Linked DNA regions of Pelodiscus sinensis. The protein of the gene in region 2 purifies or fractionates together with the protein of the main gene of each other region. This does not show direct contact. Links are inferred from orthologs where the notes say so. Each region holds a gene or a part of one and is shown on either strand. Other genes may lie near its edges.

Region 1 (7,852 bases), on a different chromosome or scaffold from region 2:
ACAAGATGTAAACTAAGTGCATGTAGTCAGGATCTTTTAAGAATTAGTACATAGCTTAGACAAAGAAAAACCAGATAAGTATGACATTTGGATGACAGTAGCCTTTTACAATTTTTTAATAAGCTATAAATGTTAAAGCAGAAAGCTCTCTCCATCAATCAGCAGATGTTCAGTGCACTACTATACAACTTAAAAAACACAACTTGTCATTTCCAGTATGCCTTGGATGATAAGTGCTTCCAAAAACAGAAGACAGCACAATTTTTGCCTTGAGGAGCTCTTAATCTAACAGTCAAGTAAACAAGCAGCAGCAGAAATAAGTGAACTCATTAAACAAAATATGACTTCTTAAAAATCAAAAAAATAAAACCAAGCAAGTAGGTAAAAATTTAAGACTACAGAAAGAGCTAATTTTCTTTTTGCTCCCTTCAATTCCCTTTGTGGTTCTTTTTTTAATTATCCCTACACCTTATTTGGAGGGATAGATTTAATTACACGAAACGTTATTAGAGATATCTGAAAAGGGTAAGTGTCAATAGTAATCATATTAAACACATGTTGAGAAAAAATAATTTAAAGTATTGTTTAGGGGTCAGGAGAGATGCAACGAGATGTATGTCAAGAGGAGTGAACTCAGTACAGTAGGGCTCACTACAGTAATTGCTTGATAACTTAAGACAACAGTGAACTCCTTAAAAGATGGATGATATCTGAATGCAGAAAATTTTGAGATCCTGAAATGGAAGATGATGCATAAATGCAAATAATGGGATGGTATTAGGGAAAGGGAAATAAGGCTGAATATTAGTAAAAAGTTTTCAAAAAGTGATATTTAGTCAACTGTAGAACTGTCTTCCATTAGGGAAGTGATTGGATCATTAATATGATCCATCTATATTCATAGCTTTGTCTGATGTGAAGAATATATCCATAATGAGCAATCCAGCACTGGCCTTTGAGGCTGCACATAATGACCTACACAGGGGTGGGCAATAATTTTTGATGGGGTCCACTCCAAGAATATAGAAAATGGTCAAGGGTAGGACTTTTCCATTATATTAATGGAGGAGGTGTGGGATCTGGGATGGAGGTTGTTCTTCACACAGTGCACAGTCAACCTGTGGAACTCCTTGCCAGAGGAGGCTGGGAAGGTTAGGACTATAACAGAGTTTTAAAAAAGAGCTAGCTAAATTCATGGAGGTTAGGTCCATAAAAGGATACTAGCTAGGGGGTAAGGAATGGTGACCCTGGCCTCTGTTTGTCAAAGGCTGGAGAAGGATGACAGGAGACTAACTGCTTGATCATTGTCTTCGGTCCACCCCTTCTGGGGTACCTGGTACTGGCCATTGTCGGAAGACAGGATACTGGGCTAGATGGACCTTTGGTCTGAACCAGTATGGCCATTCTTATGAGGCTGGATGCAGAAGAGAGCTTGAAGTGATTGGGGTGCATGAGGGGTTGCGAGCTTTGGGAGGGAGTTTATGTGAAGGTGGCAGTTGTGACCTGAGGTACAAGAGGGGGTGCAAGGGTTTGGATTGTGACCCATGGCAGGAGGGGGTTGCGACATGGGGCAGGGGACTGGGGTACAGGAGTTTGGGTTGTGACCTAGAGTGGTACAGGAGGGAGGGCAGAGGGTTTGTGTTAAGTAGCATATGGGTGCAGGGTCATTTGTATGTGTGTACAGCTAAGAGCTGGAGAGGAGAGGTACTTTGCATGCTGCTGTGCTTCAAACAGGCAGGTCCCATTGGCCAGAAACCGACCATTGGAATTGTGGTAGGGGCAGGGGCAGCACATGGAACCTCTTCCCCTCCCCAGACAAATGGCCCGACAAGTCACTTTTCTGAGCAACGTACGGAAGAGGGGCAGGCAGGGAGCCTGTGTGAGGCTCTTTGCTGTGTCCATGGGCTGCATCCAGTGGTTTGTTAAGCTGCATCCAGCCTGCAGGCCTTATTTTGCTCTTCCCTGACCTACAAGGTCTTTTTCCACCTCTAACTAACATCCAGCAGTATTGCATGGCACTCGCTGGGTCAGATTCTCCACCTTATTCCTACCATTTTGATACTTCCTCTCCAGCACCTAAAATAAACTGCATGCCATTCCTTATTCTCTCCAACAGTCCTTCTGTCAAATACTTTGTTTCCATTCCTAGATAATTGTAGAGACAGAAATGTAGCCGTGTTAGTCTGGTGTAGCTGGGACAAAAAACAGGACTATGTAGCATTTTAAAGACTAACAAGATGGTTTATTAGGTGATGAGCTTTCGTGGGCCAGAGCCACTTCCTCAGATCAAATAGTGGAAGAAAATTGTCACAACCATATATACCAAAGGATACAATTTTAAAAAATGCACACATGTGAAAAGGACAAATCAAATTTCAGATGTGTTCATTTTTTTAATTGTATGCTTTGGTATAGATGGTTGTGACAATATTCTTCCACTACAGTATTTGATCTAAGGAAGTGGGTCTGGCCCACCTAATAAACCATCTTGTTAGTCTTTAAAGTGCTACATAGTCCTGTTTTTTGTTCTAGATAATTCTAGTCTCTCTCATACTTTCCCTGGCTTATTTAATGCTCTCTCATCTCACAGTGGCTTCATACTATGTGCTAATACAAGACTCAATGCAAAAATAATGGTGATCCTCTCACATGCTATCTATCTATATTTTTTAAAGTGCATGTGCGTGTCAGTCCATTTGTTCACAAACTCCTCCTAAATGGTAAGAGCTAGGGCCACCAAATTTGGTGTGTAGTAAGGATGTTAAAAACTGTGTATTTGTGTAAGCATGTGACTGCTGAAATTTTTAGTGGTTATATGTTAACACATGGAGGGTGGGTAGGCAGGAGGGAGCTGGTGCTCACGGGGAGCCGGCTGTCTGCAAGCATCAGCTCCCGCCTACCCCCTCCTCCTGCTGCTGCCTTTCATGGTGGGCAAACAGCTCCATGGGCTAGAATTAACGGATAAACCTGGGCAAATTCAGGGTTTGGTTGTGCCAAGAAAATGAGATGTGCCTAGAATTTGATAGTTTTCCATTACATGGAAAGGGAGGGGAGCAGAGAGGAGAGATCCTCACACTCACTACTGGGGGGTAGTGAGCCCACAGGAGAGCTATCCTGCAGAGTGATCAATGAGGGCAGCCACACTAGCAAGAGTGACCAGCTGAGGATGGGACTCTACCACCTTAGCTGCCAATTGTAAGTGGCCTCCCTGTCTAAAACCCCTCCACCTGCCGTACCATCGGGGCTGGCCAACCCAACCCCAGCTGCCCCATAGGACCCCCAGCAGCCTGGGAGAGACCTTCATGCACCCATCACCCTGCCCCCACTTCCCAAACCCTGGTCTGGGCCTTCCCATGTCCCTGGCCCAGGCCCCCTGGCAAGCACTGAGCTGCCCCTCCCCTCCAACTCCAGCCCACACAGGGTCATCATTCCCCACCACACCCCCACCCACATCAGATGTAGGCAATCAATGCTGAGTAAGTCTGCTAGTAACAATAATAAAATAGCAAAACATTTCCATCTCTGATACATTAAGAATTTAACTCCAGCATTTCTGAATACTATCAACATCTACACTATTGCAAGTCTAGAACTGAGATATCTAATGCCTTGCATCCACTGGTCTCATCTTTTTGTTTTTTGTTTGACTGGATTATGTCCATTGGGAAAGCCACTACCAAGTGCAAGAAAAAGGGAAAAAAACTGTAATTTTAAACACGTGAAAGACTGATGACAGATATATTAATGGTCTGATGATGTGCTGGGCTCCTTACCTGAATAAAGGCATTTGCCTGCACACATTTTGCATTTTCCACTGTTACCTTGATTCCATTTCTAGTTGCAAAACACGTTGCATAGTCTTTAAAATGAATCGCTTTTAGGATATTCGAGAGGTTTCTGACATTGTCAAGACTGGCGACTAAAACATACTGATCATCGGCAGTTTCCAGCTGAGTAGAGAGGGGCATTATTCGTTTGCATTCACCACTCCAATCTTCCCTGTGACCGTATATGTGAGGCCTGCAGGGGCAGTGTCAAAGAGAACCTAAAACAGAGGTCACATACTTCTGTTACTCTAACCCGCTGGTGGTCAAGGACAGGCGGGAACGGCTGCCCGGCTGGCAGCTGCGATGACGCCCCGGCAGCAATGCGGTGGTGAAAGTGACCAGACGGTACAAGTGTAAACGTGTCGCTATTGCTGCTGCCCGCGAGAGGGGCTGGAGTTCAGTGCAATGAAAGCGGCGGAGGAACAGCGGCCCCAGGCCGCGCCGGTCGCTGGCTACCACGCGCCCCGTCCACTGGCGCTGCAGCCCGCCGAGCCAAGGCCCGTGTCCCGGGCGCTGCAGGGCAGAGCGCCCCACGCGGCTCCCAGCCGGCGGCGCCCCAGCTTGGGCGACACGGACGGTCCCGTTGCACGAGGCGCTCGCAGGCCAACGGGCCCGCGCTGGGGAGCCGGCGGCCCCGGGCCGAGCGGGGATGGGGAGAAGCCGCACCCGGATCCTACCTATTCCCTACGAGGCGGCGCTCGCCGCCGTGCCTTACGGCTGTCGTAACACGAAGGCCGCCCAGAGCCGGGCAGCGCGGCGGCGCTGACCATAGAGCGAGGGGCGGAAGAGCAGAGCAGCTTCCGGGTGACGGACGCGTCACGTGTAATGAAGATGGCGGCGGCCAAGAGGAAGCGTGGAGGGGCTGCGGCGCGGCCCAAGAAGCGAGCCAGGGGGGCTCCCGATGGCAGCGGGCCGTGGGCCAAGCGGGGCCCGCAGGGAGCGGAGAGGGAGGAGCACAGCATCCCGGCTCCTGTCTGCAAGGTAGAGAGAGCGGCTGGTCCCGCTTCTGCCCGAGGCCTGTGCACCCCTTTCCCCGAGAGTATTGGCACAGTCCGGCCTGTCTCCATGCGGCGCCTGGGCTGAGAGGCTGGGGAGCCATCGCTTGTGTTCTCGTTCTTGGGGGTGGGAACAAGGTCACCTTAGCTCGCCGGTCCCGCTGCGGGAAGGGTCTGGTCTGGCTTTGTCTGGCCTGTTGGGATGTAGCGGGGCGGAGGAGGCCGCTTAAGGGAAGCATCTGCCTCAGTCCTTTTTTTAGCGATATTGCCTTATTTAAAAAAACACTTGTCTTCCCTGTAAGTCATCCATAGTCTCAGAGGGCCGCCCCCTGCTTAGCGTGGAAGGGAGCAGAGTAAGGATGTTAAGTAGCATGTAATTGACTAATCAAATAGTTGATGCACTTTGGATGCGCTTTTGCACTATTCGATTAGTACTGCATGAAGCCTTTCAAAGGGGCTGCACTTCATGGAGCCCGGGGTTATCTGGGGAATCCCCAGCTGATCCTGGTCTTTGTGCTGCACTTCCCCTTTGAAAGGCTGCACAAGGCATTTCAAAGGGGCAGTGCTCCGTACGGCATTGCTGATTTGAATTACCCCATCTTCTCCCCCCCCCCCCCCCCCACACACACACCTTGCTGCCTCTCTGATAGAGGCAGCAAGGGAGGGAAACGACTAGTCAGCTATCCTGTTGACTATCTGATAAGCATTTAACTAGTTGACTAGTCCTTAACATCCCTAGAGCAGAGCACTGATCTCCACAGAGATAGGTGTTGTCTTGATCTGTGTAGTCACCCATACTCTTCATATGAGTACAGCCCTGTGTGGATATAAACATGTGGATCCACATCTGACCAACATTGACTAGAAACAATGTGTATCTGATCTGCATCGGTCAACAGCAGCAAACCATCTCTCAGCGCTTGCTCTGAAGAGGCGCATCTGGGTGTATGTGTGGCCTATGGCTTAATAAAATGGGCACACCAACCATATTATTGTAAACATCAATCTGAATTTTATAACCGTCGTCATTAGAACAAATATTTGGAGCGGCGTTGGAATGCTCCTGCTGAGGAGTGTGGCTGGGGCAAGAGTGCTTATCCTGTTCTGCCCTGTCAGGTGCTCCTTACAGGGAGTGGGACAAGCACCTGTACCCCAGCCAAGTTTCTTGTCAAGAGCGCCCCAACCCCACTCTCCAATAAGCTCTGAGGGCACCCTTCTCCCCATCAGTGCTGTTACTCCTCACTTTCACAAGGAGTATGGAAAGTCAATAAGTGTGTTTCACCCATGGACTTCCTGCTGTGGGAATGGCACCAAAGTTCAGCTTAATGTACGTCAACTCCAGCTATGTTGTTTATGTAGCTGGGATTGCGTACCTTAAACCAACTTTCTGTACTATAGACTTGACCTTAATTCTTCACTCATTCTTCACCTTAAAATTAGATAACATAAACACTTCTGTACTACCACTGTATGCAGTTTAACTTTCATGTACTTAATGTCATTTTGCTATATTTAGATATGTTTTCTATCAGTCTAGATTCCTGTCCCATCCCTAACCCTCATTGTTATTGTTTAAATGAGAAAACACAGATTTCATGGTATTTACCCTTTCTGTCTGCAAGCAGGTACATCCTGTTACATGAAGTTAATCACACCCTAAGAGGGGAAATTTTATGTGACCATCCTCAAATATTGACACTGAAAACGTTGAATTGATTAGGATTTTTTTGTGTAGGAATTAAGTAGTTAAGTGTGGAAGATCAAAATTGATCACGTTAACATTTATATATGCAGCCTGTTGGAAAGACAGCACTTTATTTTAATTGAAAACTTTTGCACAAATACAGTTTTAAAAAAATCACAAATATCTTGATTAAATATTAACTTTGATTTTAAAAAGTTGAAGATTAAAATTTTTTTTCACCTTTGTGTTTCTTTTAGGGTAAATGGAAAAACAAAGAGCGGGTGCTTATTTTCTCTTCTAGAGGAATAAATTTCAGAACAAGACATCTAATGCAAGACTTGAGAACATTGATGCCCCACTCTAAAGCAGGTAGGGTCGATAGGTACTGCTTTTATCTAACTCTGTCACTGTTTTTGGCTAGAGTGTTTTAGTAAACTACTGTCTGTTATTGACATTATTCCATTATGCTACACAGAATATCTGTTGGACTCTAAGATTTAGGTTGTCAAGTGATTAAAAAATTAATCATGATCAATCATGATGTTAATAATAGAATATCATTTAAATAGTTTGGATTTTTTTACATTTTTAAATATATTTATTTCTGTAATAACACAGAATACAACGTGTATAGTGCTCATTTTATATTTTTGATTAAAAATATTTTCAATTCACCTAATACGACTACTGCAGTACATTCTCTTTATCATGAAAGTTGAACTTACAAGTATAGAATTACATGCAAAAACCCCTGCATTCAAAAATAAAACAATAAAGTCTGCTCAATCCCAATTCTTTTCCAGCCACTTGCTAAGAGAAACAAGTTTGTTTACATTTATATGAGAGTTTGCTGCCTGCTTATTTACAATTTCACCTAAATGTAAGAATAAACTGTAACGTGGCATTGTTGTAGCTGGCATTGTTAGATACTAATGTGCCAGATACGCTAGAGATTCATGTCTCTTTATGCTTCGACTATCATTCCAGAAGACATGCATGCATGCTGATGATTCTGTTTGATAACTTTCCAAGAAGTGCAAAGTGATGCATCTTCATTTTCATCATCTCATTTAGATGCAGGAGGTTGATTTTCTATTTTGGTGACTTGTGTTCTGTAGTTTCTGTAGAATGTTGCTTTTTTAAAGACTTATGAAAGCATGCTCCACATCTCATCTCTCTTAGATTTTAAAATGCACTTCAGATTCTTAAACCTTGGGTCAGGTGCTGTAGCTGTCTTTAGAAATCTCACATTGGTACCTTTTTGCATTAACACTTTTTTAACATGGAAGCATGTTCTCTGGAATAATGGCCAAATCATGAAGGGGTATACAAATGTTTTAGTGTAT
Region 2 (7,641 bases):
CTAACTCAGCACTCAGAGAGAGAATGTTTTAAGAAATGCCACCCAGAAACTTTTGTGACTTTTTGTAACTACAACTCTTGTATATGTAAAGTTATTATTATACAAAATACTGTATGTGAAACATTAATTAGGGAATGTATGTAAGAGAGAGAGTGCTTGGATGATGAATGAATGGTTTTGAGAGGTGCCAGCCTGAGAATGCAGCAACAAAGGGCTGAAGAAGGCGTCAGGTGCCAGTGCAACCAAAAGGTGTCAAGTGGAGAAAACCAAGTACTGGAGGTCCACCCTATGAGATTACTGACAAGCACCTGACAGCCACCCTGGACATCAGCATGATGCAGCAATTTCCATAGACTGGCATAGGAAGAAATTCCTATAAGAACTGGACTAAAAGACTATGGAGTCAGAGTCCAAGGTTCTGCTGACAGCCTACCAGGAGCTTCAGATGTGCATCTGATCAGGACTTCGCTCCCCACTACCATCACTTGTGTACAGAATACCTGGCCAGTATTCTGTCACAAGCAACTTCCAGGCTGGTAACTATAACAAATACATAGAACTTGAATGAATGGATGAATGATTGAATGAATGTTTATATATATGTATATGTATATGTATAAAGGTTAAGTAGTGATAGGAATAAGTAGTTAAAAAACGTTGTTTGCTTCTATCTTTTCTTTATTCTTTATTCTTATCTTTACAATAAATGTGGCTTTTTGCCTTATCCCTCTCATAAGATCCCGCTTGCTTTTATTGGTACAACATTTTGACCCCTCCATAGAAGTGTAGTCCATGACCACTTACCAAACTCTTGGAATGCCGCCCCCACCCTCCACTAAAAATTATTGCCCACCCCTGCAGTATGCTGTGGTGGAACATTGCTAGTCTAATAGGGGACGCTTGACATTGTAACTTATCCCTCTACCACAACTCCTTTCCTCGTATAGTGTTATGTGTTCTCATCTGCATTCTCTCTCTTTTTCCCCACACAGCATTGAGAAATACAGGAAACCCTTGCAATTTGCCGTAGCTGCATTCTTGGCACCACTGCGAATGGCGAAATTCACCAATGCTGGGAGTCACTGCTCCCAGTCACCTCCAAACTCACCATGGAACTCACTACTGTGAGTTCACTGCAGAGGCCGGGAGCCAAGGTAAGTCCCCCATGGCTGCTGGCCCCCGTGTCCCACTCAAGCCTGGAGTAAGGATATTAAGAAGCGAGTAAATCTGTTAAATGTGTAGTAAACAAAAACTTGGTTGACTACACAACTAATTGATAAGGGATAGCACTGTTACCACTCAATCCACCAACTACCCCTCCTGTGGCTCTGCACTACAAGCACTTGTACTGCAAAGTGGCAAGGGGGGGTTGATACCGGTCCTGGCACTAAAAGCCGGCATGCGGGCAGACTGGCTCAGTCCCAGCTTGCACCAGGACCCAGTATCAATCCCCACTGCGGCTCTGCACTATAAGCACTAAGAGCTGTCACAGGGATTGATACCAGGTGGGAGCTGGGACTGAACCAGCCTGCTAAACCTTAAAGGAGATGGGGAGGGGAGTGTGGCGTGTAGTAGATAATGTTAACTGATAAGCGTGTTAATCATTTAGTCAACTACACAAGTACATCCCTCGCCAGGAGACACCCACAAATATGCAGAATTGCAAATAACAATTCTGCAAATTGTGAGGGTCTTCTATATTTTTCAAGCCTGTCGGTATGAAGTTTACCTCTTTGTCGGTGATGACAGATTCTTCTGACTCAGACTCTGACGACGACTGATTTTCATAATCTGCCATCTTTTTAACTGGAAGAAAGAAAGAGATAAAGATGATATGTACTCTGTTCAATTTGAATTCTCATACTGCATTCACCTCTGTATCTACAGACCTGCATAAGGATGTATAAGTGTCTCATTTGTACCCAGCTTGGCCAAAAAGAGATGGTTGATTGCAGAGTGGATGGTGTCATATTCCCTGTGCAGGGACATGATGCTAGATTCAGGTAGGGGTACTCCAAGAATTTGGTAAGTGGTCAAGAGCCATATTCTTCCATGCTAATGGAGGAAATGTGGGGTCTGGGATGGAGGTTTGGTGCAGAAGGGACCTCGGAGTAGGGGATTGGGGTACAGCAAGGGGTGTGGTGTCTGGGATGGAGTTTGGGTGAAGGAGGAGGTTGTGACCTGGGGCAGGAGATTGGGGTGCAGAATCTGGGAGGGAGTATGACTGCAGGAGAGGATTCTGACCTGGAGAAAAGGTTTTGGAGAGGGTACAGAGTCTTGGACAGAGGGGTTGTGTGCAGAAGTAGGGTGCCAGGCACAGATCTAGCCAGGAAATGCTTATCCTAAGTGTCTCATGACCAGCATCCCAGCAGGACTCTTGGTCAGGCTCCCTGCCTGTCATACCCCACACACTGCTCAAAGTAACTGGCTGCTAGGGCCATGTTTGTTTCTCTGCCACATGCTTGTTGGGGAGCAAACCATCCACAAGCACTGCCCCAGCAACTCCCATTGGCCAGTTTCCAACCAATGGAAGCCGTGAGACTGTGCATGGGGCAGTACATAGAGGCACAAGCATGGAGCTCACGGCACAGAAGCACACATGGTCCCAGCGCGGGGCCTGTCAGGCAGGGATTAGGGATGTTCAAATATGTGTAATTAGTAACTGTGTAACTGCTGAAAATGTCAGTGGTTGCGTGCGAGGAGCTGACTTTTAGAGAGTACGTCATTTTATAGGGAACAAAGACTTTTAATGCTGCGACTGTTAACAGTAGTAAAGCCACGTGTGTAACCCCCCTTTCTGTTTGTTACTGCAGATAACCCTTCAGGTTACCATACATGACATCTAGAGACAACAGCTCGCCGCTCTCCCTGCAGCAGCGCCATCGGAATCACACGCGGCTTGGCCGCCCGCCTGTTCCCCTGGGAGCCGCGGAGGGAGCAGCGTCACGCGGACGCCTAGAAGAGCAGCCGCGGCGCCCGGGCTGCGCTAGGAGCGAGGCCGCGGCGCAGGGGCTCGGCCCTGGGGCGCGACGGCACGTGCCGGCCAAGCGCGCTGCACCGTGGGCCTTGCAGTCAGCGCGCGACCGCTCTTACCTCCGCAGCCAGCTCCTGCCCCTGCCACGCGCGTGGACCCGCCGCAGCCCGCGCCGCCTCGAAAGTTCACTTCCGGCCTCTCCAAGGCCGCCGCCGCATGCTCACTTCCGCTTCCGGGTCAGAAGCGCTGGGTCTCCATGGCAACCAGGCGCTTGGTGCTGGCCGAGTGAAGCCCCGTGTCTCTCGCCCCGCGGCGCGGAGCCACCATGTCCGTGATCGTGGCCCAGCCGCTGCACGTCTTCGGGCTCCGCTCGCGCGTGGCCAACTGCGTGTGCTACTTCGACGAGCAGATCATCATCTACCCCTCGGGGAACAGCTGCCTCAAGTACCACCTGGAGCAGCGCTGGCAGAAGTTCATCCCGGGTAAGAGTCTCCCGCCCGACCCTTCTTACCCGGGATTGCCCCGTCTGTACCGAGAGAGGGCCCCAGAGCACTGCTGGGCACTGTGCTAATGAGACTGCAGTCCCTGCTAACACCCCCAGTGGAGGCATGTACACACGTGTGTGCTTCATATGCCTAGCTGCTGCTGGGCACTGTGCTAATGAGACTGCAGTCCCTGCTAACACCCCTAGTGGAGGCGTGTACACACGTGTGTGCTTCATATGCCTAGCTGCTGCTGGGCACTGTGCTAATGAGACTGCAGTCCCTGCTAACACCCCCAGTGGAGGCGTGTACACACGTGTGTGCTTCATATGCCTAGCTGCTGCTGTGCACTGTGCTAATGAGACTGCAGTCCCTGCTAACACCCCCAGTGGAGGCGTGTACACACGTGTGTGCTTCATATGCCTAGCTGCTGCTGTGCACTGTGCTAATGAGACTGCAGTCCCTGCTAACACCCCCAGTGGAGGCATGTACACACGTGTGTGCTTCATATGCCTAGCTGCTGCTGTGCACTGTGCTAATGAGACTGCAGTCCCTGCTAACACCCCCAGTGGAGGCATGTATACATGTGTGTGCTTCATATGCCTAGCTGCTGCTGTGCACTGTGCTAATGAGACTGCAGTCCCTGCTGACACCCCCAGTGGAGGCATGTATACACGTGTGTGCTTCATATGCCTAGCTGCTGCTGTGCACTGTGCTAATGAGACTGCAGTCCCTGCTAACACCCCCAGTGGAGGCGTGTACACACGTGTGTGCTTCATATGCCTAGCTGCTGCTGTGCACTGTGCTAATGAGACTGCAGTCCCTGCTAACATCCCCAGTGGAGGCGTGTACACACGTGTGTGCTTCATATGCCTAGCTGCTGCTGTGCACTGTGCTAATGAGACTGCAGTCCCTGCTAACACCCCCAGTGGAGGCGTGTACACACGTGTGTGCTTCATATGCCTAGCTGCTGCTGTGCACTGTGCTAATGAGACTGCAGTCCCTGCTAACACCCCCAGTGGAGGCGTGTACACACGTGTGTGCTTCATATGCCTAGCTGCTGCTGTGCACTGTGCTAATGAGACTGCAGTCCCTGCTAACATCCCCAGTGGAGGCGTGTACACACGTGTGTGCTTCATATGCCTAGCTGCTGCTGTGCACTGTGCTAATGAGACTGCAGTCCCTGCTAACACCCCCAGTGGAGGCGTGTACACACGTGTGTGCTTCATATGCCTAGCTGCTGCTGTGCACTGTGCTAATGAGACTGCAGTCCCTGCTAACATCCCCAGTGGAGGCGTGTACACACGTGTGTGCTTCATATGCCTAGCTGCTGCTGTGCACTGTGCTAATGAGACTGCAGTCCCTGCTAACACCCCCAGTGGAGGCGTGTACACACGTGTGTGCTTCATATGCCTAGCTGCTGCTGTGCACTGTGCTAATGAGACTGCAGTCCCTGCTAACACCCCCAGTGGAGGCGTGTACACACGTGTGTGCTTCATATGCCCTAGCTGCTGCTGTGCACTGTGCTAATGAGACTGCAGTCCCTGCTAACACCCTCAGTGGAGGCGTGTACACACGTGTGTGCTTCATATGCCTAGCTGCTGCTGTGCACTGTGCTAATGAGACTGCAGTCCCTGCTAACACCCCCAGTGGAGGCATGTACACACGTGTGTGCTTCATATGCCTAGCTGCTGCTGTGCACTGTGCTAATGAGACTGCAGTCCCTGCTAACACCCCCAGTGGAGGCGTGTACACACGTGTGTGCTTCATATGCCTAGCTGCTGCTGTGCACTGTGCTAATGAGACTGCAGTCCCTGCTAACACCCCCAGTGGAGGCATGTACACACGTGTGTGCTTCATATGCCTAGCTGCTGCTGTGCACTGTGCTAATGAGACTGCAGTCCCTGCTAACACCCCCAGTGGAGGCGTATACACACGTGTGTGCTTCATATGCCCTAGCTGCTGCTGTGCACTGTGCTAATGAGACTGCAGTCCCTGCTAACACCCCCAGTGGAGGCATGTATACACGTGTGTGCTTCATATGCCTAGCTGCTGCTGTGCACTGTGCTAATGAGACTGCAGTCCCTGCTGACACCCCCAGTGGAGGCATGTATACACGTGTGTGCTTCATATGCCTAGCTGCTGCTGTGCACTGTGCTAATGAGACTGCAGTCCCTGCTAACACCCCCAGTGGAGGCATGTACACACGTGTGTGCTTCATATGCCTAGCTGCTGCTGTGCACTGTGCTAATGAGACTGCAGTCCCTGCTAACACCCCCAGTGGAGGCATGTACACACGTGTGTGCTTCATATGCCTAGCTGCTGCTGTGCACTGTGCTAATGAGACTGCAGTCCCTGCTAACACCCCCAGTGGAGGCATGTACACACGTGTGTGCTTCATATGCCTAGCTGCTGCTGTGCACTGTGCTAATGAGACTGCAGTCCCTGCTAACACCCCCAGTGGAGGCGTGTACACACGTGTGTGCTTCATATGCCTAGCTGCTGCTGTGCACTGTGCTAATGAGACTGCAGTCCCTGCTAACACCCCCAGTGGAGGCGTGTACACACGTGTGTGCTTCATATGCCTAGCTGCTGCTGTGCACTGTGCTAATGAGACTGCAGTCCCTGCTAACATCCCCAGTGGAGGCGTGTACACACGTGTGTGCTTCATATGCCTAGCTGCTGCTGTGCACTGTGCTAATGAGACTGCAGTCCCTGCTAACACCCCCAGTGGAGGCGTGTACACACGTGTGTGCTTCATATGCCTAGCTGCTGCTGTGCACTGTGCTAATGAGACTGCAGTCCCTGCTAACATCCCCAGTGGAGGCGTGTACACACGTGTGTGCTTCATATGCCTAGCTGCTGCTGTGCACTGTGCTAATGAGACTGCAGTCCCTGCTAACACCCCCAGTGGAGGCGTGTACACACGTGTGTGCTTCATATGCCTAGCTGCTGCTGTGCACTGTGCTAATGAGACTGCAGTCCCTGCTAACACCCCCAGTGGAGGCGTGTACACACGTGTGTGCTTCATATGCCCTACCTGCTGCTGTGCACTGTGCTAATGAGACTGCAGTCCCTGCTAACACCCTCAGTAGAGGCGTGTACACACGTGTGTGCTTCATATGCCTAGCTGCTGCTGTGCACTGTGCTAATGAGACTGCAGTCCCTGCTAACACCCCCAGTGGAGGCATGTACACACGTGTGTGCTTCATATGCCTAGCTGCTGCTGTGCACTGTGCTAATGAGACTGCAGTCCCTGCTAACACCCCCAGTGGAGGCGTGTACACACGTGTGTGCTTCATATGCCTAGCTGCTGCTGTGCACTGTGCTAATGAGACTGCAGTCCCTGCTAACACCCCCAGTGGAGGCATGTACACACGTGTGTGCTTCATATGCCTAGCTGCTGCTGTGCACTGTGCTAATGAGACTGCAGTCCCTGCTAACACCCCCAGTGGAGGCGTGTACACACGTGTGTGCTTCATATGCCCTAGCTGCTGCTGTGCACTGTGCTAATGAGACTGCAGTCCCTGCTAACACCCCCAGTGGAGGCATGTACACACGTGTGTGCTTCATATGCCTAGCTGCTGCTGTGCACTGTGCTAATGAGACTGCAGTCCCTGCTAACATCCCCAGTGGAGGCGTGTACACACGTGTGTGCTTCATATGCCTAGCTGCTGCTGTGCACTGTGCTAATGAGACTGCAGTCCCTGCTAACACCCCCAGTGGAGGCGTGTACACACGTGTGTGCTTCATATGCCTAGCTGCTGCTGTGCACTGTGCTAATGAGACTGCAGTCCCTGCTAACACCCCCAGTGGCGGCGTGTACACACGTGTGTGCTTCATATGCCTAGCTGCTGCTGTGCACTGTGCTAATGAGACTGCAGTCCCTGCTAACACCCCTAGTGGAGGCGTGTACACACGTGTGTGCTTCATATGCCTAGCTGCTGCTGTGCACTGTGCTAATGAGACTGCAGTCCCTGCTAACACCCCTAGTGGAGGCGTGTACACACGTGTGTGCTTCATATGCCTAGCTGCTGCTGTGCACTGTGCTAATGAGACTGCATTCCCTGCTAACACCCCCAGTGGAGGCATGGACACACGTGTGTGCTTCATATGCCTAGCTGCTGCTGTGCACTGTGCTAATGAGACTGCAGTCCCTGCTAACACCCCCAGTGGAGGCATGTA
Region 3 (7,121 bases), on a different chromosome or scaffold from region 2:
CAATGTGAACGCTCTCTTGCCCGAGAAAGTGCCGATGGCCATTTTAGCCACAGGGCTTTCTTGCACAAGAAATTCATGTTGCCTGTCTACACTGGCCTCTTGAGCAAGAACAGTTGCACAAAAGGTCTTATTCCTGAGTGGGAGCATCATAGTTCTTGTGCCAGAAGCCCTGATTTCATACATGAGAATGTCAGCGTACTTGCGCAAGAACACATGGCCAGTGTAGACAGGAAGCATGTTTTTGTGCAAGAGTGGCCACTTTGGCGCAACATCGCACCAGTGTGTAGACAGCCAAGGGGAGGGGGGCAGGGAATCAGTGCTGGCTCAGCATGTCTGCATGGTTTGGGGGAAGGTGCAGGGAAATTGAGCTCAGCTGGGTTGCAGAGTGGGGAGGTCCAGGAAGTTGGGCTGGGCTGCAGGGTGTGTGTGTGGCACGCTCAGAGCTCAGTTTGGCTGCAGGAGGATGGAGGTGCTGGGAACTGGGGCTAGACTCAAGTGGAGGGAGGGGCAGGGAATTGGTGCTTGGCTCAGCAGTTTTGCAGGGTTTGGGGGAGGTGCAGGGAAACAGGGCTCAGCAGTCCTGTGGGGGGAGGCATGCAGGGAACCAGTGCAGGGCTCAGCTGGGTTGAGGTGGATGGGGGAGGGCATACGGAACAGATGGGCAGCTCAGCTGGGCTGTGGGGGCTGCAGGGAACTGGTGCTGTGCTCCCTTGGATTGTGGGGGATGGTTTTGGGAGAGGTGCAGGGAACCAGCAGGGGTAGGCAGCTCAGTTGGGTTGCAGGGGATAGAGGTGCAAAGAAGCTTAGTGGGGAGGAGGGAGGGGCGGGAACCAGGAGCCCTGAAATGACCTCCCTGGTCCAAAAATCCCTCATCTGGGACCAGTCAGGTCCAGAGGGTGCCGGTTCAGAGAGATCCAATTCCTTCCCAAGTCCCCTCCTTGCACCCTCCCTCATAGCCAGACACCCTACCCCCAGTCTGCTCCTGCTTCCTCCCCCTGGTCAGACACCCTACATCCAGCCTGCTTCTGCACCCTACCTCCCACCCAGACCTTGCCCCCTTCTGCCCCCCCACCTCCCTCTCAGATCTTGCACCCCATCCCTATCCTGCTCCTTGGCAGCCCTGCCATCCACCCTAGCACCACCCTGTCCCTGGCCCCAACCCCCTGCCTCACACCCCAGGACTCAGCACCTCCCTGGCCCCAGCACCCTGCCATCCACGCTAGCACCCAGTAGCACCCTGCCAGTCACCCTAGTGCCCAGCAGAACCATGTCCCTGACTCCCGCCACCTGCCTGCCCCAGCACCCCGTCACCTGAGCCAGCATCCTTCCACCCAGCAGCACCCTTTCCCCAGCCCCAGCACCCACTTTCACTCTGTCCCCTGCTCCCACCAGCACATTTGGGACCACATTAGTGAGGCTTGGGGGTCTTTGGAGGGTTGTTGGGTTTTTAAAAATGAAGGCTGGCCAACAAACCCCCAATTGGGGCCAAATCCCCATCTCACTGCAGCATCATAACACTCCTGCACCACCTGACCCCAAATCTGAGCCTATCATACACTGGAACCCCCGGGCCTGAGCCTCTTACATCCCCAAACTCCTGCAGCCCCACATCCTTAGTCTTCTGCCACCACACTCCTGCACCATCACACATGGCAAATCTGTGTCCTGAGTCCCTCACATATCCAGCCCAAACCCCAGCACCCCCACATCCATAAGCCCATGGCTCACTCAGCACCCCAACCTTCCACCTGAACCCAACACTCCTGAGCCTGGAGCCCCCTCTCCGAGCCAACATCCCCTTCTCCTGCATCCAAATTCCCTCCCAGAGCTTGTACTTCTCACCCCTTCCCACACCCAAATCCCTCATTCCCACCCCAGACCTCTTGTCTCAACCTAGTGAGTGTGTAAGGGCTGGGGATGGCAAGTGATGGAGAGGAGGGGAACAAAGCAGATGAGGCCTCAAGGAACGGGGGTGGAGGTCTTGAGGAAGGAAATGTGATTTGCATGCATTTGGTGGGTCCCTTTTGCCACCCCTTTTTTTTTTTTTTCTTGACTAACCTAGGGGTTCCTTGAAATTCTGAAAAGGGTTCCTTGGCCAAATACAATTGGGAAACACTGCCCTAGTTGATAGAACTTTGCTTCACTCTAGTCTGCTCATTAGTAGGAGGGCATGTACCAGCTGGGTGGGTGCTTTTGGTAAAGGCTCCTAATGCATGTTTTTTCACCCCCCCTCTCCCCCCCCAGGTGGCCCAGCAGCAATGAGACCTTGGCTTGGTACTGTTGACTTCTCAACCAAGCTGAAATTATCCCTCTGCCTGATGTTCCTGAGAGGGTGCTGTTCCCCTTGGCGGACGTTGCTGCACAGGCCTCCCTGTGGGAGAGGAAACTCTGTGGCGCCAGCCTGCACCAGCTAGGAGCGTGCCAGGGCAAGAGGGGACATGACGGACTCTGTACATAGTGACTGGAGGCCACAGAGCCACGTCCTGTTACACAGAATCCTGGCTGCACTGCTCGCTGCTTCAGCCTGGAGTTCCATGTTTTGTTTTAATCTTATTTTGAGTTTGTTTACTGAGATGAGTGTACAGATGAGACCAAGCAAAAGCCAGGACAGAGACACAGCTACCTCCATCAAGATCGTTTTTAATACAAAAACTGACTGGACTTGTCCACTAATAAAACAGCTGAAAAGACCGGAAAAAATCTTGATAAAACTGAAAAATAAAGGTTTCCTTGTATTTTATTCTGCTGTCTGCAGTTAGCTGTGCCAAGTAACAGGGAGAGGAAATACTAGAGGATAAGTAAGCATGTCTGCTGGAAAGGCAGAAATGGTAGCACTATGGTAAGGCCTATCCTTTCGCATAAGCTTTGGCTTTGTGGAGCACTGAAGAGAAGTTATCCAATCCTTGCATGGGTGATGAGCTGCTACCTCCTCTCTAGTGGAGGTCTGTTCAACCTGAGCACTAGTTCAGGTCAATAAGCTGCCTGATTTTTTTTTTTTTGACTTATCAGCTGGTGGTAAGAAGCTATTCATACAGCTCAGCATTGGTAATGTCTAAACTGCAGTTAAAAACCTGTTGCTCTCCTAGGTTAGCAGATTCAGGCTAAGCCTGTTTCATTGCACTGTGGAGGGTTTGGCTGCTCTAGGAGGTAGGGAGGGAAGAGAGTGCCAAAGCTTAGCTTCCACACCACTGCAGCCTCAGTCAGGTGTCTCAGTGCAGTGTAGAACTGTCCAAAATGCCAGCAAGAAAATTGGCACAGAAAGCCTTGCACCTACATCCCTCTCTGGTTATTTTCATCCTAGTGTGTAAGAAACCGGGTGTAAGTCACATGCTGTTGTCAGTATAGGCCTAGCCAGCATCACCTTGGCTCTGTTTCTAACGTGGCTACATTTTTAGGTTAACTCCTTATCTTTCCAATGTGGGAACGGAAGGGGCTGTGTGCTGTGAGCTAGCTAAGGGCTACTTTGTGTGCACTCAGAGCAGCTGCGCGGCCAAACCGTGTGTGTGGCAGACACGCCTGCTACTCCTCCATTACACTTAAGGGGAGGAGCAGGCGCGAGTATCCACAGGCCGCTGTCATTGACTTTAGCGCTGCAGCCTGGGGAAAGCTGAGGGCTGCCTTTAAGCGAGCTTGTGCCATGATCGAACAGCGGGGGGGGGGGGCCCTGCCCGCCGGCCTGGTCTGTATCGCCCTGGGGCAGCTGTAAGCGCCGCTGCTGCGCTGCGTGGGGCTAAGCACAGCGCCTCCCCGCCGCTGCAGGGCCCGGGGCGCGCGCTAGTGCCCGGCCGAGCCCCTCTGGAACGGCTCGCGCTCGCCTCGGCCCCAAGCTGGACGGGCGGGGGGCCGCCGCCAGGGGCAGCGCGCGGGGCGGTGCGAAGAGCGGGAGGCAGGAGGCAGGAGGGGCGGTGCCTGGCCAATCGCAGCGCGGGGGGGGCTGAGCCTGCGCACTGCGAGGCGGAGCTGTCCCCGGAAGGAGCTGTCGGCGCGCACGTGGGGCCGGAAGGTAGGTGGCGGGCCGCGGCCTGGAGCCGGGCGGGTGAAGGCGGCAGCGGCGGCAGGAAGGGCGCGAGGCGCGGGCTGCGGGGGGGCGCTGCTAAGGGGGTCCCGGGGGGGCGAGCGGCGGTCTCAGAAACGCGCCGGGGGGGGGGGGGTAGGTCTCTGCCCCCTTCAGCGGGCTCGTTTGCCGCCTCCCTCCAGTCTCCCCGCACTGAAAAGCGGCTTCCCGGCCAAGTCCGAGCCAGGGTGCCCGCGTGTGGAGGGTGTTAAATGGTGAGAACTGGCGAGGCGAATAGCCCGTCCCTTTTGCACCGACCATTTGATTAGTCGATAGGGCGCCTTGGCCTTTGAAGTGTGGGGCTGTTGCTACCCGCAGAGGCAAAAGCCCCATGGGGAACACGGGGTCAACTGGGAACTTCCCCTCTTTGAAAATGCCACCTGCAGATTCGGGACATCCCAGCTGGCCGTGGGCTACATGCAGCGTTTCAAAGCAGCAGCGCTGTGTGGACCCCTGGGTCTGGCCCCAGGCTACAAGTGGTACTGCTGCTTTGAAGTACCCTCTTCTTCCCCTGCCCCTTCCTGCCTCTATCTGATAGAAGCAGCAAGGGGTGAGATGGGGGACGTGACTAGTCAACTATCCAAAATAAGCATTTGCTTATTGGATAGTCAACTAGTCCTTCACATCCCTATTTGTCATTGTATCATCTAGCGTTAAAATGGGAATGTAACATTGATACTTGTATGTCTGTGTACAGTCCATAAAGAAGTATAAATAAATAACTGTGGATTCTTAATTTATACTGACTTCACTAGTGATTTTATGTAGCCTGTTGTAAAACTAGGCAAATACCTAGATGAATTGAAGTATCCCCCAGGGAGAAACATAGCCCTGGTTGACAACCATTGTGTTAGACACAGAGGCAGGCAGGCTGAAGAATTGCTGCCCTAAAGCAGTAGTGGGGAACCCTTTGGGTTAGAGACCACTGAACCACAGAGACATCTGTCAGAGGCTGCACAAAAGTGAGAAACAAGGGGAAAAAACCACCTCATTGACATGGCCCCCAACTGAAAAGCAGAAAGACACTCTCCACATTCTGGGGCTAGTAGATTTTGAGGACTTCCCAGGCTCTGGGGTGGGGCCAAAAATGGGTTCAATGTGTGGGAAGCAGGCTTGGGATATGCTGTTTAGACAGGAGGGATGGTGTAGGAGTGGACTGGGGATTGATGCGACTGGGAAGGTGGTAGGGTGTAAGAATGGGCTGGGTGAGAAAGTGAGGTGCAGGAGCAGAGAGGAGTATGAGGTCTGGGCAGAAGATGGGGTGGGGTTCTGGGAAGGAGGTAGGGTGCAAGAGCGAAATAGGGTTGGAAGGGCTTGGCGATGGGTTCGCTTACTTACTGCAGCTCCCTGGGGATGCACATAGGGATGCGCCCGCTCCCTGCTGTTCCTATTGGCCACAGTTACGGCCAATCAGCCTGGTGGGGAAGAAGCCTTCAGTCAGTGCCTTGCTGCGCTGCCACTTCCTCCTTCCCCTCCCCTGCCCATCAGATAGAGTCTGTGGTTCAAATCCAGCCCTGGCTTGTCTGACTGCAACCCGTGAGGCTAAGCGCTCCCTCCACACAGGAGAAGCCGATGCTGGCACTCCAGCCCCATGGGGAGACCACTGGGCAGCCACAGGGCTGGAGCACAGATGCCAGCTCCCCAGTGCTGGCAGGGACCTTTGAGCCTCAGGAGCTGAATCAAGGCAAGCTGGGGGCCAGATCTAGCTCCCAGGCCTAACCCTACCCCTGCCTAAAGGAATCACCCCCTAGTTTGCAATGTGTGTGGAAGGAAGGTCTGTTCTGTTTGTTTTCCTCATTCTTCTTCCATTACTTACCCCACAGGGTGAACATGGGGCGCAAACTTGATGTACTGAGGAAGGAGAAACGTGGCCCGGGGCGCAAAGCCCGCAAACAGAAGGGAGCAGAGGTAGAATTAGCCAAATTTCTTCCCCCAAGTAAGTGTGTTTGTTTCTTTACCATTTTCTGCACTTCTCTCTCTACCCCCCACCTACATATACAATCACACCTGGATGGGCTCCTAAATAGGGACCTCATCCTGTTCTTTGTCCTTCTGGTACCAGTTCCTTGATTTTGTGTCATCTTTGTTTCTAGCTACTGATAGCAGTGGAAAAAAATTATCCAGCCATGCACGAAAAAGGTGAGTGTACAAGTACACCAGTGAATTCTGCTCTAAAGAGGATAAAATTCAGGACACTAGTTGCAATCTGGCAGGTCCAAGTCAGAGGGAGTTGTTAGGCTTTCTGGTGTAAAAGGGTTTATCAGTTCATTTATTCTTGTGTTCGTTTTTTCCATGTGTTTTCAGGGCTGCAAAGAGGCGAATGGGATCAGGAAAAGCCCAAGCAAGGAGGAATCTGCTTCAGCTAAAAAAGGCAACAGATGAGGGGGAGATGGATGGCACCAGCCTGGGTGTGTGTTTAACAAGTTGACTGCTCATTATTTCCCTAGTGGAAGAGTTCTGGTTGGTCTACGCTTTTTGCTCTAATTCTTCTCGGAGTGTTTTAATACCATTCTCCTCACTTTCATCCCCAGCTGTGAGCAGAGTAGGAGTCTGGCATAGCTTGTGTCCTATCAAAGAATGGACCTCTCTTTCTGCTTCCCTCACCTGACATCCAGCGTACTGTGGGCATCCTAGCTAGGGCTTCCAACGCATGCGTTGCACAGGACTAAGAAGGGACTTGGCTCAAATTAAATTTGTAAAACCTAAATGTTTAAAATTGCGTCTCTTCAGTAATCCTGGCCACTGGGACAGTATCAGACTCTTTTCTGCTTTCTATCCTGATTCTCCATAGTATACAGCTTCCAATGCAGCGGTCGCCATCCTGGACCTCAGGATGCACAATAACCTGGGCTCGGGATACTTAAAAGATCACTGAAGGATCTGGAAATTTTGGAGGGCCTAGTTCAAAAGTGAAGAGAGATTTTCACAGACTCTGAGAACCACTTAATAATGAGAATAAGAAGATTGTATTTATGGGAATGCCTGTATCTATCCTGCAGCTGCAAGTGAACCTCCCAGCCCAGGAAGACAGGCTAGAGTTAGTCTTGCTTGTCAGTAATAACGGTAC
Region 4 (7,927 bases), on a different chromosome or scaffold from region 2:
ATCTAGCACCTGAAGGAGGAGAGGGTTGCAGGAAGGGCTGGGAGCGGGGCAGACGGCCCAGGAGTGAGGCAAGGGCTGAGTCCGCCCTGCAGGCGAGGTGAGGGCAGGCCCTGTCTGAGGTGCGGGCGGGCTGCCCGGGGGGAGCGCAGGGCTTAGGCTGACCCGTCTGAATCCTCCGGCATCTTCCGCCCCGCGCGGCGTCACGGACACTCGCGGCATGGCCAGGCCCCGCTCCAGCGATGCCTGTGACCCAGGGGCCCTCTCAGCGACGTCTGGGGGCTCCACGCACCTGGCCCAGGTCTCTTGCACCTCGCTCTCAGCCCAGAGAGGGAGCGCGAAGCCAGCCCCCCACAGCGCACACAGGCCTGTTTGAAGGGAAAGGGGCGTTATCGGCACTAGTCAGGTCAACCCGCTCTGTACAAAGCTAACACGGTTCTCCAGGAGGCAAGTGTCATGATTATGCGGGTCAGCCAGCAGCCTGGGGATTAAGGGGTTAACTACACCTAGCCCGGTGGAGTGGCCGATAGGAATGTACGTAGGACTTTCAAACTGGGACAAAGGAATTTGGGTTTTTTCCTCCTTTGTCTCTCTGGGCCAGTCCTCTGCAGCTACATGTCTCTCGCTCTCCAAGAAACAATTCTTCACTTTCTGTAATCAGGGTGAGGGTTAGGTAGTTTCATTAGGCTTTATTGTTTTAAGGGTTGGGTCTGGGATCTGAGATCTGGCCCTGCTTAAGAGATGTTTGGCTTTTCTTTGTAACTAAGTTCTAGCCCACGGTGTAATTCCTCCATGGCTGCGTCTACACTGGCAGGATTTTCCGAAAATGCTTTTAACGGAAAAGTTTTCTATTAAAAGCATTTTCGGAAAAGCGCGTCTCGAGTGGCAGGATGCTTTTCCGCAAAAGCACTTTTTGCGGAAAAGCGTCCATGCCAATCTAGACGTGGTTTTGTGCAAGAGAGCCCCGGTCGCCATTTTCGCGGTTGGGGCTTTTTTGCGGAAAACAGTCCTGTGCTGTCTACACTGGCCCTCTTGCACAAATGATTTCGCAAGAGGGCTTTTGCCCGAACGGGAGCAGCGTAGGATTTCCGCAAGAAGCACTGATTTCTTACATGAGATCGTCTGTGTTCTTGCGGAAATTCAAGCGGCCTGTGTAGACAGCTGGCAAGTTTTTCCACAAAATCATCCAATTTTGCGGAAAAACTTGCCAGTCTAGACACAGCCCAGGAGTATATTTTGTGACCTTTCCAGCTGATCCTTATGCTCGCAACAGGAATATTGTTATAATAATAAAAGTTTTCTCTTTTCTTTTAATTAACCTGGCAGTGGTTACTGGTGTGTCCTGATTTTTATAATAGGGGTGAGATTTCCCAAATAATCTTTCCCCTAATCTTATTAATATTTGGATGGTGGCAGCGGAAGTTTTATTCCCAAAATCTAGGTTTTTAAGATTTTGGGGGAAGTTTTATGCCAAAGCCTGGTAGATAAGGCTTTGGGGTACACCTGCGGGCCCCCACTTCTGCATTGATCATGCCAGAGTGGGGAAGGCAGCAAGCTCGGTGCGTCCTTTAGGCCTTACTGAGGCTATGCATAGGGGGCTCCTGCTGACGCCTCGAAACCTCGCCCTCCCCCACGTCCAAGTACCACTGACATCCCGTTCCCAGTTTGTATTCCCTTCCCCCCACGTGCGCTGAGCTGTGAACAACCATCGGGGAAGCCGCCTGCAGAACTTGTGCTCATGGAGGGAGGGCAGAAGAGCCAATGGCAGGATGGGCCGTCTGGCGTGGATGCCACCCTGCCCCTGGGGCCCAGCACTTCACAGGAGTGACTGTCGCTCCCAGCAGCAATGCACCTGCAGGCCAGCAGCTCCGCCAGGACCCTTTGCCTACAGCCATGGACAGGTCGCTTGTTCGCGTCATCAGCTCCATTTTGGTCCTTTGGGACGGGGAGAAGCTGTTTGGAAGTGGGGGATGGGTTAGAACCTCTCCCCTGTGTAAGGGGGGCTGGGGGGCACAGGGAGCACTGGGGTGTCTGAGGGGAGGTGGGGGATGGGTTAGAACCTCTCCCCTGTGTGAGGGGGGCTGGGGGGGCACAGGGAGCACTGGGGTGTGTGAGGGGAGGTGGGGGATGGGTTAGAACCTCTCCCCTGTGTGAGGGGGGCTGGGGGGCACAGGGAGCACTGGGGTGTCTGAGGGGAGGTGGGGGATGGGTTATAACCTCTCCCCTGTGAAAGGGGGGCTGGGGGGGCACAGGGAACACTGGGGTGTCTGAGGGGAGGTGGGGGATGGGTTATAACCTCTCCCCTGTGAAAGGGGGGCTGGGGGGGCACAGGGAACACTGGGGTATCTGAGGGGAGGTGGTGGATGGGTTATAACCTCTCCCCTGTGAAAGGGGGGCTGGGGGGGCACAGGGAGCGCTGGGGTGTCTGAGGGGAGATGGGGGGATGGGTTATAACTTCTCCCCTGTGTGAGGGGGGCTGGGGGGCACAGGGAGCACTGGGGTGTCTGAGAGGAGATGGGGGATGGGTTATAACCTCTCCCCTGTGTGAGGGGGGCTGGGGGGCACAGGGAGCGCTGGGGTGTCTGAGGGGAGATGGGGGGATGGGTTATAACCTCTGACAGGTAGTGGGGGTGCAACTTTTATAATCCCGTGTTGGCTCTGCTGTGCTGTGTTCGCTGTAATTCCCGATGACTCACCGAGATGTGTGCTGGGGCCAGACACAGGAGATCATAGCCCTTGGCCTGGAAGGGAGACAGGACAGGCGGGGCTGCACCAGACTGGGGGGTAGGGCCTGTGGGAAGGGTCAGTCTCCACTGGGCTAGGATGAAAGAGGAGGCGGAGAGCAGAAAAGGGGGTGAGGGACCCCGGGAGCCCTCCTCACCATGAGAGGAATAAGGCTGCCTGCCCTGGCTCCTGGGTTACCATCGATTCTGTGCTACACTGTCCCTGGGAACCGATTAACCTTCAGTTCTACCTGCCGCCTGCGGGTCACATCTGGCTGCAGATGGGGATGCAGGGGCGGGGACCCCCGACGCGTCATCACAGTGGTGTCGGGTGGGATGGACTGCACCCCGTGGATGGAGCATCCGGCGGTTAAGTGACTGGGGCGCAGGAGAAGGAAGGGGGCTTGCAAGAGCCAGGCGTGCGGGAGGCAGAGAGAAGCGATTCCAGAAAGCCAAGGGGCAGGCAGCTTAACCCGAGCGTGACTGCAGAGAAGGAGCGTTCCTCAGGACAGGGAGTGGCCCTCAAGGAGCCGGGTGCACTGCGGGGTTCTTCCTGGGAGGCATGGGGTACTGCCACCTTGGCCAGTGTCTGCCCCGGGGAACGGCGGGGAGATGGCCTACACCTGGCTGTGCAAGGGGAGGGGCCTGCCCTTGGGGAAACTGACCAAGGGGAAGGCCCAACTAAGTGCCCAGCTGGAAGAGAATGAACTGTCTGGGGGCCTGGATCCTGCCCCAGCTGGGAGCAGCCAGACACCCCCGGGAGTGCTACAGGGGGCTGGAGTCTGGCTGACGGACACGGTGCCCTTCAGGCCACACTGCCACCAGCGGTTCGTCCCAGCTGGGCTCTCCCTCCGCGGAGCTGCACGGCTGGAGACCAAGCTGCAGCTCAAGGAATTGGAGGGTTGTATGGAACAACGGCAGCAGGAGCTGGCCATGGCAGAGCAGAGAAGCAGAGGGGCCCAGGGCTGCAGGTCCCTTTGAGAGGTTCGTGCTGTCCCAGTGTAAGGATGTATGGGACTTGAACGGGTTTCTTGACTCTTTTGAGCGAGTCTGCGAGCTGCACCAGGGCCCCCTAGCCAACTGGCTCCAGCAGCTCACCCCTTTGCTGGATCAGAAGGCCGCAGGGGTGGAAGGGCTGCAGCCCGGGGACTACGAACGGGTCAAACAGGCCCTGCTGCACAGGTTCGGGCTGACTCCCGAGACGTACAGGAAGAAGTTCCAAGGGGTGCAGAAGCACCCTGGAGAGACCTACGCAAACCTGGACTCCTGCCTGACGCACGCACCCCAACCCCAAAGCGCTGCAGTGTGCAGGGAAACTGAGGCACACCCCCCCCTCGGAGCACTGCAGTGCACAGGGAAACTGAGGCACGCACCCCCCCTCGGAGCACTGCAATGCGCAGGGAAACTGAGGCACGCACCCCCCCCTCGGAGCACTGCAGTGTGCAGGGAAACTGAGGCACGCACCCCCACCCCAAAGCGCTGCAGTGTGCAGGGAAACTGAGGCACGCACCCCCCCCCTCGGAGCACTGCAGTGTGCAGGGAAACTGAGGCCCACAGGGAGGCACAGGACAGAACCGCCGCAGCCCGACCAAGCGAGCAAGTGGGGCGAGGGAAGAGGGGGTACCCGGGGGGGGAGGGGGGGTCTGCTCTTCAGCCGAGGCCAGGCCGGACCAGGGCCCCCCCCCCCCCACGCTCCTGGCCAATGGCCGAGCAAGCCCCGCCCCCCGTCACCTCCTAGTGCGCTGCGGCGCAGCAGGAGAACGCCCCCCCGCGCATGCGTACAGAGCAGCGGAAGCCGCCCACTGCGCCGCGGAGACTGGCGGAATCCACCGCTCTCGCCATCCCATTGGCTGGTGTGGGGAAGAGGCGGGCCTAAGGACGCTCCCGCTGCCCCATTGGCTGGTGTGGGGAAGAGGCGGGCCTAAGGACGCTCCCGCTTTCCCATTGGCTGGTGTGGGGAAGAGGCGGGCCTAAGGACGCTCCCGCTGTCCCATTGGCTGGTGTGGGGAAGAGGCGGGCCTAAGGACGCTCCCGCTGCCCCATTGGCGAGTGAGGGAAAGGGGCGGTCACTGATTGGTGGAACGGCCGGTTTCCGGTTCCTGCAGGCCTCTAGCGGCCCCGTTGCGTGGGGTGGCGGCACGATGGTGAGCGGCCTGCGGGGCCCATCCGGGCCCATCCCCCCCGCGGCAGCCGGTTCGAGCCCGAGCGTGGCGGGGCTGCGTGCTGGGGGGCCTGCGGGACCCGGGGAGGCGGGGAGCCGGGCCGATGGGGGGAGGCCCGGGGAGCGTGCGGGATTGGGGGGCGGCGGGGAAGATGGGCGGGGGGCAGGTTCGGGGGGGGGGGGGCGGGAGCGGGGAGGGGACCGGGGGGAGCGGTTGGGGGGGCGGGAGCAGGGAGGGGACGGGGGGGGGCCGGTTGGGCCGGGGGCGGTGGGGGGGGAGGGGACCGGGGGGGGCGGGAGCAGGGGGGGGCGGGGGGGCCGGGGGCGGTGCGGGAGCAGGGAGGGGACCGGGGGGGGGCGGGAGCAGGGGGGGGCCGGGGGCGGTGCGGGAGCAGGGAGGGGACCGGGGGGGGCGGGAGCAGGGGGGGGGGCGGGAGCAGGGAGGGGAGCGGGGGGGGGCCGGGGGCGGTGGGGGGGTGTCCTACGCGCGCTCACGGCCCCGCTTGCAGGTGCTGCTGCACGTGCTGTTCGAGCACGCGGCCGGCTACGCGCTGTTCGTCGTGCGGGAGGTGGAGGAGATCAGCCTGCTGCTGCCCCAGGTGCGCCCTGCCGGGGGGGGGGGGGGGGTCCTGGTTTATTCTCGCCCCCGAGGGCTGTTCCCCACCGCGCTGACCTTGGGCCCGGAGCGGCTGCCTCCCTCCCTTACTCCCAATCGGGCGGTGGCTGCCCACGTGCTGGGGTGGCTCCGCAGGAGGCTCCCTGATCTGACCCTGCAGGGTTGGGGGTTCCTGCCTAGATGGATCCTTGCACCAGCGCAGCCCTACCTGTCCAGTTGTACCCGCCAGTACCCAGGACCAGCTGTGTATAGCGTGGGGCTTGCTAGGCATGGGACTGCTGCTTGGCGGTAGGCCCCTGACTGGGCTACATGTGTACGAGGGATGTGACTAGTTAACCGGTTCACTGGTACCCAAAGGGGTGTGAGCAGGCAGCAACAGCCCCAGCGTTGTGGGAGTAGGGAGCAGCAGCAGCCCCTGTGTGGCCAGGGGACCAAGCTGGAGCGGTCTCCTGGGATCTTGTGCTTGATTGGTTAAACATAGTGCTTACGGGATTAACTGATTAAGGGGGATTTTACATCCCCAGTGCGGCCGGGGGATGTGAGAGCATACCCTAACCAGCGAGCCTGGGCTGATCAGTTAATCTTCACGCCTTAAGGGCACCCCCCTTCCCCCACATGGCCACTTCTGCTACAGAGGCAGCAGCACAGAGGGGCACACGCTAGGAAGCTGCCTGCCCCGCCCCTGCTTCCTTGGGCAGTGAAGATGGCTCCGCTGGAGCCCCTGCTTGTGTGCAGCTGGATTAAGTCGGCTCCCTGCAGGCGCTGAGCCCCTCCCCCTGGTGTGTAAACGTGTAGCCGTGTTTCCGGGTTTCTTCAGAACCCCACATCTTAACGGCCCTAGTGTGAACCCAGCCAGCAGGCCTGGCTCTCTGTGGCCAGGCAGGCGGGTCGTGCTCTTGGCTCCCACCTTGTGCAGTGATGAACAGCCCAAATCTGTCAATCCACTGAAAGCGGTGATGCTGCGCTGTGTCTGAGCACAGGTGCGCAAGTGGGGGGCACTTGCAGCTGCGCTGAAGGGGGCGCTGCTGTCCGTGTTCCCGCCGGTGGAGACGGCATCCCTGCCATGCGTGTTGGGGGCTGCGGCCGTGCAGCCGGGGCTTTAGCTGCATTGTGCTCCATCAGAACCTGTGCGCGCCTGGGCCCCTGCGGGTGTGGTACCCCAGCCTGCCCTGTGTTACTCACCCGCTGCCCTGTGCCCGCCCCAGGTGGAGGAGAGCATCCTGAACATTGGCAAGTTCCACAGCATTGTCAGACTGGTGGCCTTCTCCCCGTTCCGATCCGCCCAGAGTGCCTTGGAGAACATCAACGCGGTCTCAGAAGGTGAGGCTGAGCTGGTGGCTTGCTCCCCGTCAGCCTGCGACGGGTGGCTGGGCCAGGAGCGGAGCTTGCTGCCCTCTTGCTCCCATCCATGCCCTGTGGCTCGCCATCCAATAACTCCTTCTCCCTGGGGCAGGGATCCTCCATGAGGACCTCAAGCTGCTCCTGGAGACCAACCTGCCGGCCAAGAAGAAGAAAGTGTTGCTGGGAGTCAGCGATGCCAAAATCGGGGCTGCCATCCAAGAGGAGCTGGGTTACCAGTGCCAGGCTGGCGGGGTCGTAGCAGAGATCACACGAGGTGAGGGCGTGCGCGAACGAGGCCCAGACGGCTATGTTCTGGCATGGGGATCCTAGCAGGCCCCCTAGGGATCATGTCTGGTCCAGTCCCCTGGTGCCCTGCCTGTGTGGGAGCTCAGGTGCTCACTCGGGGCTGCCCTCCTTGGCTTGTCACAGGGTGGGCGGTGTGGCTGCGAGGGGTTCCGTACTCACCAGACACTCTGTGCAGGGATCCGCCTGCACTTTCACACTCTGGTGAAGGGCCTCACTGCCCAGTCGGCCTCCAAGGCACAGCTGGGCCTGGGGCACAGCTACTCACGAGCCAAAGTGAAATTCAACGTCAACCGGGTGGACAACATGATCATCCAGTCCATCAGCCTGCTGGACCAGCTGGACAAGGACATCAACACCTTCTCCATGCGCGTCAGGTGAGGGCTGCTGCAGGGGTGCTTGCCCGGGGCTTAGCTGGAACGTGCACTGTCCCTCCCCATGCTTACCGCAGGCAGCGCGACTTCCAGCGCTGACTGCACAGAAAGGGGAGGAAGAGCATCTGCCCTGCGTACACCCCAGCCAGGGAGCCTGTGACCTGGGCTGTCTTGTTAGCAGGGAGACACGGCCGTGGGGCGGGAGGAGCTGGCGGGTCCATGCTTCCCTCCTTGACTGCTCCCCTCTGGCTCCCGCAGAGAGTGGTACGGGTATCACTTCCCGGAGCTGATCAAGATTGTGAGCGACAACTACACCTACTGCTGCCTGGCCAAGCACATCGGGAACCGCAAGGAGCTGAGCGAGGAGAGTCTGGAGGGGCTGGAGGAGATTGTGATGGACAGCGCCAAGGCC

What was found.
Region 1: the proteins of EBNA1BP2 (region 2) and BRIX1 purify together in Homo sapiens (affinity purification with mass spectrometry; 4 studies listed by BioGRID and IntAct, counting the BioPlex papers as one, with this or other methods). This does not show direct contact. The link is inferred for Pelodiscus sinensis from reciprocal best matches to the Homo sapiens genes EBNA1BP2 and BRIX1.
Region 3: the proteins of EBNA1BP2 (region 2) and NOP2 fractionate together in Homo sapiens (co-fractionation; 3 studies listed by BioGRID and IntAct, with this or other methods). This does not show direct contact. The link is inferred for Pelodiscus sinensis from reciprocal best matches to the Homo sapiens genes EBNA1BP2 and NOP2.
Region 4: the proteins of EBNA1BP2 (region 2) and NOP56 purify together in Homo sapiens (affinity purification with mass spectrometry; 4 studies listed by BioGRID and IntAct, with this or other methods). This does not show direct contact. The link is inferred for Pelodiscus sinensis from reciprocal best matches to the Homo sapiens genes EBNA1BP2 and NOP56.

Annotation. Positions count from the first base shown.
Region 1 is NC_134716.1:107,060,221-107,068,072, reverse strand, and holds the start of BRIX1 (ribosome biogenesis protein BRX1 homolog), read left to right. Parts: upstream 1-4,624; 5' UTR 4,625-4,652; coding exon 4,653-4,808; intron 4,809-6,763; coding exon 6,764-6,875; intron 6,876-7,852. Other genes in the region: cell cycle checkpoint protein RAD1, read right to left, coding at 3,774-3,968. UniProt on the Homo sapiens protein: Required for biogenesis of the 60S ribosomal subunit.
Region 2 is NW_027465825.1:545,913-553,553, reverse strand, and holds the start of EBNA1BP2 (putative rRNA-processing protein EBP2), read right to left. Parts: upstream 3,229-7,641; 5' UTR 3,094-3,228; intron 1,807-3,093; 5' UTR 1,799-1,806; coding exon 1,730-1,798; intron 1-1,729. Other genes in the region: CFAP57 (cilia- and flagella-associated protein 57), read left to right, coding at 3,300-3,456. UniProt on the Homo sapiens protein: Required for the processing of the 27S pre-rRNA.
Region 3 is NC_134711.1:138,759,262-138,766,382, forward strand, and holds the start of NOP2 (28S rRNA (cytosine(4447)-C(5))-methyltransferase), read left to right. Parts: upstream 1-3,892; 5' UTR 3,893-4,003; intron 4,004-4,115; exon of another isoform or gene 4,116-4,269; intron 4,270-5,877; 5' UTR 5,878-5,884; coding exon 5,885-5,990; intron 5,991-6,147; coding exon 6,148-6,193; intron 6,194-6,358; coding exon 6,359-6,462; intron 6,463-7,121. Other genes in the region: CHD4 (chromodomain-helicase-DNA-binding protein 4), read left to right, coding at 2,245-2,262. UniProt on the Homo sapiens protein: S-adenosyl-L-methionine-dependent methyltransferase that specifically methylates the C(5) position of cytosine 4447 in 28S rRNA. Required for efficient rRNA processing and 60S ribosomal subunit biogenesis.
Region 4 is NW_027465891.1:299,297-307,223, reverse strand, and holds the start of NOP56 (nucleolar protein 56), read left to right. Parts: upstream 1-4,761; 5' UTR 4,762-4,861; coding exon 4,862-4,864; intron 4,865-5,390; coding exon 5,391-5,480; intron 5,481-6,702; coding exon 6,703-6,817; intron 6,818-6,950; coding exon 6,951-7,112; intron 7,113-7,319; coding exon 7,320-7,518; intron 7,519-7,570; exon of another isoform or gene 7,571-7,706; intron 7,707-7,773; coding exon 7,774-7,927. UniProt on the Homo sapiens protein: Involved in the early to middle stages of 60S ribosomal subunit biogenesis. Required for the biogenesis of box C/D snoRNAs such U3, U8 and U14 snoRNAs. Part of the small subunit (SSU) processome, first precursor of the small eukaryotic ribosomal subunit.